2 linked regions of the Cricetulus griseus genome follow. The protein of the gene in region 2 interacts with the protein of the main gene of each other region in a pairwise test. Links are inferred from orthologs where the notes say so. Each region holds a gene or a part of one and is shown on either strand. Other genes may lie near its edges.

Evidence for each region. The genes of interacting proteins can lie anywhere in the genome.
Region 1: the proteins of Camk2b (region 2) and Mrpl11 interact in binary tests that used the Homo sapiens proteins (3 or more experiments, as listed by UniProt). The two-hybrid records come from large-scale screens. The link is inferred for Cricetulus griseus from reciprocal best matches to the Homo sapiens genes CAMK2B and MRPL11.

What each region holds. Positions count from the first base shown.
Region 1 is NC_048596.1:54,326,612-54,330,883, forward strand, and holds the start of Mrpl11 (39S ribosomal protein L11, mitochondrial), read right to left. Parts: upstream 2,826-4,272; 5' UTR 2,736-2,825; coding exon 2,613-2,735; intron 2,289-2,612; coding exon 2,193-2,288; intron 1,695-2,192; coding exon 1,601-1,694; intron 1,518-1,600; coding exon 1,358-1,517; intron 1-1,357.
Region 2 is NW_023276807.1:98,857,853-98,861,413, reverse strand, and holds part of Camk2b (calcium/calmodulin-dependent protein kinase type II subunit beta), read right to left. Parts: coding exon 3,514-3,561; intron 3,441-3,513; coding exon 3,357-3,440; intron 2,868-3,356; coding exon 2,773-2,867; intron 2,655-2,772; coding exon 2,532-2,654; intron 2,249-2,531; coding exon 2,165-2,248; intron 1,505-2,164; coding exon 1,462-1,504; intron 519-1,461; coding exon 444-518; intron 1-443. UniProt on the Homo sapiens protein: Calcium/calmodulin-dependent protein kinase that functions autonomously after Ca(2+)/calmodulin-binding and autophosphorylation, and is involved in dendritic spine and synapse formation, neuronal plasticity and regulation of sarcoplasmic reticulum Ca(2+) transport in skeletal muscle.

The DNA.
Region 1 (4,272 bases), on a different chromosome or scaffold from region 2:
TCCTAGCACAGACCCCAGCTGCCCTTCCCCTCTCTGGACTCCCAACTCCCATATCTCTGCTCAGGTTTCCTCTACCTGGATCCATACAGTGAGATATCGGAGACAACCACATACTCCACCTTCCCATAGCTTTGATTCCCATCTTAAGGGCCTACTTAACCAGTGGCCTCTACTCTACTACTGGGATTTACTAGACCTTCCTTTGAGCCACAAACACTTCACATGAGGGAGTCATAGGCTTGTATGTAGACACTCCCCTCTATGCCCCACAAAGTAAGGACCTGAAGAAACATCAAGGCCACCTGTGCTCTACACTGCCTCCCTGAGGATCAGCCAATACCAGCCTTGCTGTGGAGTATAACATCTGCAGCGAAGAGGCCTGTGATGACCGTCCCTGTTCCAGTCTCTGACATGGTCTGGGTCAAATGCTCTCCCACTTACAATTTACTTCAAGTAAACAATTCCTGAGATCATCCAAAGCCAGCTGACTGGGACAGCTGTTGGCCTTAGGATGGAGTCTGAATGTGAGACAGCTCAAAAGATCCTCCCCGACTGCTCCCTGCTTCAGATCATGCCCCACTCGGCCTCTAGACAAGACTCCTGTAGCTTCAGCCCCTTACCTCTCATTATTCACTGCAATTTTCCCACTTTTTGGAACATTGCTCCTTTACCCTCCTTTTCCTGGGCTGTTTTGATGTCATCTCCTTCAAAGAGTCCTCACTGACACACCAGGTAAAAGCAGGAACTCTCCTCTCTGCTTTCATGACATCCACTGATTTTTTAAACAACACTGACCAAATGCCAGTTTAATTCTCTATGTATGGATCTGCCTCTACCTTAGGACTATACATTTTTCCAGAGTGGCCAAATACTACTGCTCATTTCTGGTTATATCCAATGTGCTGAACCATGTCTAGCACATAACAGGGGCTTATGAAGCATATTCCAAATGAACAGAAGAGGCTTTCACCCATATCCTTCTGCTAGAATCTCAGGTCCTTCGACTTAAAAACTCTACATGTAGCCGGGCAGTGGTGGCACATGCCTTTAACCCCAGCACTTGGAGGCAGAGGCAGGTAGATCTCTGAGTTCGAGGCCAGCCTGGTCCAGAGAGCCAGTTCTTGGACAGCTAGGGACACACAGAGAAACCCTGTCTCAAAAAAACAAACAAACAAAACAAAACCCAAACAAAAAAACAAAAACTCTACATGTATAAAAATATCATAATGAAAGCTATCATGTATAACTAATACATGCTATAAAATTTTTTTAAACCTGACTATTTCACTATAATGGGCCCTCTCACTTTACTCCCAAATAGGAGCTTCCTTTCCACAGCACCGTTCAGGATACTCACTCTTTCACCACACGAATGCCCAGGGAACGGGCAGAGCCAATGATGGAACGGACAACAGAAGACAGGGGCACATCTTGCAGGGCGAAAGCATCATCCTTAGCTTTGACACAGGCAATCTCATATATGTGCTTCAAACTCACCAGGCCTGCTACCTCTTTCCCTGGGAAGAAGGAACAAGCTCCAGTTGTCACTACTTTTTTTTCTGGACACATCAGAATCTCAGGCACCCACTCTAGTCCTTACCTGTTTGTCGGGCCCCCTTCTCAATCCCAGCTGCTGCCTTCAAGAAGTAGGAAATAGTGGGTTGCCCAATCTTAAGCTCAAATGTCCTGTCAGGCTTGATAGAAAGAAAGATATTGAGAATTTCTTGGTTTTCTATTCAGGTTCAGGGAATTTGTAATGTCCCTTTTCTTCTCAAATCAACTTGCCTTCCTGTGGTGTCTTTAACACCACAAAACCATAGCACACATCTATGAAATGAAAGATATGAGCCAAAATATAGTAGGACTGGGCTGGAGAGATGGCTCAGAGGTTAAGAGCACTGACTGCTCTTCCAGGGGTCCTGAGTTCAATTCCCAGCAACCACATGGTGGCTCACAACCATCCGTTATGAGATCTGGTGTGCAGATATACATGGAAGCAGAATGTTGTATACATAATAAATAAAATCTTTAAAAAAATATGGTAGGACTAAGACGGTTCAGAGAAATTATGGTTGAGGTTTCACTGTGTAGATGAGGAAAGTGGAGAGTGACAACCAGGTTAGGGACAGAGAAGCAACCCCGGGCGACTAGTTTTAAGCGCCAAAGAAGACTACAGAACAATGAGACTGCACCTTCACAAAAATCTTTGTAGGCAGGGGAATGCCTTCTTTGATGTCCTTTGTCTTCTCGTTGAACTCTTTGCAGAACTGGTTGATAGAGACGCCTCGCTATGAGGAAAGCATAAAGTTAAGTGTAGGAGTTAAAGGGTTTCTACCACCCAGGAGCCCGTCCCTTCCCTCCTTCGTCTTCATTTCCCGTGTTCCTATATTTCTTCTATCCGGATTCAATTACAGCTTCGTGTCTGGACGATTCGTCCACAAGGTCCCACTTAATCAGCAACTAGCCAACTGGGAAGGGTCAGAGAAACTGAGGTCAACAGAGGCTACGTAAGCAACACAAAGACACAAGGCGTGCGGGTGCGAAGAGCCGCGACTTCCCATCTATCCGCTACCGCCTTCCGTGTCCCCCGGGCCCGGTTCCAGACACTACACCTGCCCCAAGATGGGACCTAGTGGGGGCCCAGGCATAGCTTGGCCTGCTCGCACGATAGCCCGGACCACGCCACCAGCCTCCGGCTTCCTGAGGGCCCGAGAGACTCGGCTTAGCTTCGACATGATGCGGGATTTTCAGTCTTAGTTCGCCTTGGAGCAGCAAGAGCTACGCTCTGGGCGCTGCCATTTTGGGTCAGAGGTCACGGGTCCTCACGTTAGGCTAGGGTGAGGCCAGCAAAGAACAGCCTAGTTTCAGTCACACAACTCTCCAACCAAAGACGGGATAAGGAATCAAAAATATCTAAACTTTGCGCTATGAAGACAGGAAGAGAACCTGTACGGCTTCGGTCCACACAAACCCTCAGGAGTGCGCACAGGCACTAGATTAGACAGCCAAACAGGAGTGCGGGACCTTGATTCTCCGCACGGCATTGTGGGCTGTGTAGTTTCGGCGCCTTCTTCTGCGCCTGCTGTTAGCTGTGCTCTGGGTCGCCATCTGTCGGACACAGTATTATCTTAGTGTTTGAAATGGAGCAAGCAAGGGACTCCAAGTGGGAGTCCCTCGGGTCTTTTTGTTCCTCATGTAGTTTCACGTATGGAGTGGGAACAAACCGACAGACCGCTGCTCTTTCTGGCTAAGAACTTGAGCCATATCAGACAGAATTGGGTTCAGGTTAGAATGTCCTGTTTCATCCTCTGTACAACGGATGTTATAGATGCCTTTCGGAATTAATTGTGACAGCTCAATAGCACACTGCCTAGAACAACACTTGAACCCGGAAAGCAGTTACTGTTATTTGTACAAAGGAAAGGGATCAGCTTTTTGCAACCTTACCCCAATCAAACATGATTTCTTGGCAGCTCCTTGGGCATACTTTATTGCTCCCCTGACCTTCAGTTTTTTTATTAGAAGCAGATTTTACTGTATGTGTTTCAGCACTCTGCATCCTGCCCCAACTCTCCAGGGCTACTTGTCATTCGTTGCTTTCTAGTGAATGGCATTTGAAGCCTGGGGTTTTGAAGCCTTTGTTATCACTCCCTTGGGCAACCTTGTGTACCTATGCTCTTTGGTATAGCAACGGCCTTGGAAGACTCTGACTGACTCTCCTTGAGCACATCTAGCTATGAAGCTCCACGAATTGTAGGCTTAAGTTTTTATTTTCCACAATAGTCCAGAGTGTAAAGTTCTGCATAAGCTGATGCCCAGCCCCCAGACTGAGACTACTTTGAAGTAACTATCCACTAAATCCGTGTTTGAGATCCTTCAGATTCCAGGAGGATTCTTTGGTTCTTTTTACAATTTCTCTCAGGCCAAAAGGCAGCTTATTGTATAGCATATACCTCCAGACCCTATCAGCTTGCCCTGAACGGCCTCTCACAACCCTCCACTGTTTTTCCTTCTTTTTCCATTTCCTTGTGTGTGCAGTGTGGGTGTGGGTGAGTAGGTGTGCTTGCAAACGTGTGCATGTGCATGTGGAGGGCTGATGTTGATCCTCTTCCATTGCTCTTCTGCCCTAACACTGAGGCAGTGTCTCTTACGCAACCCAGAGCTTGCAGGTATGGTCCGTCTTGTTAGCCAGCTTGCTCTGGGGTTCCTCTGTTAGGCTGGAATTACAGGTAGATCACCATGCCCAGCTGGTATTGACGTGGGTTTGTTGAG
Region 2 (3,561 bases):
CATCTGCCCCTAGGGAAGAACTGGCCTTGGACCTTACAGCTCCTTGGGACATCCTTACCTCCCTAACCCTGATCTAAGGGCTCCCCTTCCAGGACTGAGACCCCCCAGTAGCAGGTTCAGTGACTTCCTGTGAGGTCAGTGTCATTCTGAATTGGGTCTCCAGACTCCCAGAGGCCAGGACCAGAGGGTCTCAGCCAAATGCATCTGGGATTTGATGTGGCCTCTCCTCTTACAGACAATGAGACAGGAGCGAGGGGAAGCCTTATTGCCCAGGGTGGGGGCTCTGCTGGGATGTGACTGTGGCAGGAGCAGAGCTCCCAGGGGGCTGCCAGCCTCTGGGGAGGCTCTGGGGGGCCTGGCCAGTGGCTGCGTGCAGCAGGGGGGCTGCATGCCAACAGGAGGGATGGGCAGGAGCAGGTGGACACTGGGCAAGACACATCTACCTTGTTCCACCAGCCCCATGGTGGTGCCGGAGGCCGCGGTGGACATTGTGGCCGGAGCGGTGGTCTGTCTGCCCACTGTTAGCACCAGGTTAGAGACGAGGGGGGGAAGGGGGCGGACACAGACGGGGTGGGGCAAGGTGAGGAAAGAGAAGAGACAAAGGAAGCAGAAGAAGATTAGAGTTAAAGTTTAGGTGGGGGATGGCTCCAGAATCCCTTTCTCAGGAGAGTGAAACAAGATTGGGCCGATAGACACGGAAAAGCATTTGCCTCCTTTCTCCTTAGAACACCCCAACGGGGCTTCTTGTGCCCGATGGGGCATGCGGGGCACACAGCAGACAGGACAGTCCCATTAGTGTTGGTGTGACTGTGTGCCCATTCCCGGCAGTACAGCATCACAGCAAAGTAACAGGAGGCAGGGTACCAGATGCAGACGGACAAGGAGAGACGACCATGAACGCTCGCACACTTAGTGTCAGACGACGAAGAAGCCACAGACATAGCTGTCTGGGCACTAGGGCCAACACTGTCTCCCCAGGTGGGTCCCATGGGTCTCTAACAGACCCTTGAGACTTCATTTTCCCATCACCCACCCTGAACAACCTGGGTAGGCGGCCCGTCCAGAACTGATGAGGTTTCCCTGTGCGCGGACCTCAATTGCACCCACCCGTCTTCAGCTATCTCCCACACACAACACGATGCTTCGAGTGCCGAGGACAAGGAGGCCACAGGGCTGCCCAACAGATGCTTGGATGGATACAGGCGGCAGGCCAGGTATCGGCAGAACAGACACTGGGGCGTCAGGTGAGGGACACAGACCCAACAACATGGAGGTGGTGGGATTGGAGCGTGGCAGACCTTAGTAGCTACCCAATGAGGAAGCCAAAAGGCCTTCTGGGAAGTGGGTCTTGGAGGTGAGGGCTTGGAGGAATGGGACTGAGGGCTGGTGAGGAAGGAGGGGGCTTTCTGTAGAATGAGAGTGGCTCTGAAACATGGTCCTCCCTGGAGAAGAGTGTCTCACCTGAGAAATTCCGTGTGGCCAACATAGTGGTGAGGATGGCTCCCTAAGGAGAAACAGAGACAGAGTCACCCTGTTAGTTTCTGTATCTTGCGCGCGCATGCACGCACGCACGCATGCACGCGCGCACACACACACACACACACACACACACACACACACACACACACACACACACACACACACACACACCAGCCTTCTGGAGAAGTAAGAGTTCCAGAACCTAGCAGCACAGAGGCAAGTCACCATGTCCATAGTTAAGGCTCACACTACCCACAATCACAGCATCAAGACTCCTGAGAAATGGGCATGACCAGGAAGGCCTGCCACCATGACAGCTCCTCTGGCCCAGAGCAGTCAGGGCTATCCTTGGGACTTTGGAGAAACTCAATCAAGCAAGCAAAGGTTCGTGGGCCTAGCCCTGGCCTTGACTGGACAGCAATGATCAGGATCAGCCCTGTCTACTTGCCTCCCCAACCTGCTGAGCCCACCAGGACTGCTCTTGGCCAGTACACCTGTCCCTAGGATGCTGAAGTGGCCAGCTCTTCGTGCAGGGCCATGACCTTCTGAGCTGTCACAGCATCTGGAGTCCCTGGACTTGTAAATGGGCACAAATTTGGGGGCTCCTCCCTACGACTCTTCTCCATGTCCCACATGCAGCATGGGGCCCCCTGGGACAGGCAGATGGGGGCTGAGGCATGCTTACCTTGAGCTTCCTCCTGGCATTGAACTTCTTCAGGCATTCCACAGTCTCCTGTCTGTGCATCATAGAAGCCACTGTGGAGCGTTGCTGTCAGGAGAAGGGAAGTCACAGGGCAGTGAGGAGCAGGCTTAGGAGACTGGCTCCTGGTAGTGGCACTCTAGGGCCTGCACACTGAGTGCTGCCAGCCACCATGACAACTAGAGATCACTTGTTCCCACCTGCAGTCCCCAACTTATTCCCAAATTCAAGTCTTGTCCTTCGCAGACCAGGGGAGTGGTCAGACTCGAGGAACAGACCCCCAGAGCTATCTTGGGGGCCCTGGATATGCCCACCAGGAACTGGCCCCTAGAGGTTGCCAAGGATGACTTACGCAGACCCATGGATGCTTCAGGGCCTCATGGGCCGTGATGCGCTTGGCAGGGTTGATGGTCAACATCTGGTTGATGAGGTTTTTGGCTTCAGGAGTAACGGTGTCCCATTCGGGAGATGGGAACTACAGGAGGAAGTGGTGCACAGGGCAAGGCTGAAGCCCCTCCCCAGGCAGAGGCCATGAAGAGGAAGGGAGAACCGGGATGTGGCAGTCCCCACCCTCCGCACCGGCACCCACTCACATCATAGGCCCCAGCCTTGATCTGCTGGTACAGCTTGTGCTGGTCCTCATCCCAGAAAGGTGGGTAGCCCACCAGCAGGATGTACAGGATCACCCCTGTGGATGGGGAGGTGAGCAGCATAGCCCTGGAGGGCACCAGGGTCAGTCCTCAGTGTCCCCTTGCCCCTCCCCTGCCATGGGGAGCATGGCTCTAACAGCCTCTAATCCCTGCTCCATCTCCACCCTACTTTACTAGGGAGCCTGACCAGCCGCCTCTGCTATATGCCCACCAGAAAGAGAAGATCCCACCTAAGGAGCCTGTGGTCTGACAGCCCCTGGTCCCTGTATCCTGGTGTCCACTTGCTCTGGACACAGACCTATAATGAGCACAGGCAGACAAACATAATGGCCTGGGGCACATTGGTAATTCTAGTTGGGGTTTGAGATCCCTGCCAAGGCAGCCCAAATGCAGGTCTGACACACACACTTGGCTCAGGGTGGGACAAGCCAGCCACCTGCACACTCTGGGACAGAGGGAGTAAGCCCTGAGGTACACGACCACACATTCATCATGCAACCCAACGGCCTCTCACACACAGGTCTTACCACATGCCCAGATGTCCACAGGTTTCCCATATGCTTCCTTCCGAAGGACCTCAGGGGACAGGTAGCCCGGCGTTCCCGCAAATCCTATCAAAGGGAAAGGGACCATGAAGGGCCATGAGGAACTGCCAGTACTCCCTGCCCACCCCCTGACACTCACCAAACCACGCCTGCTGGTCTCCCTGCACCTCGATGGCCAGGCCGAAGT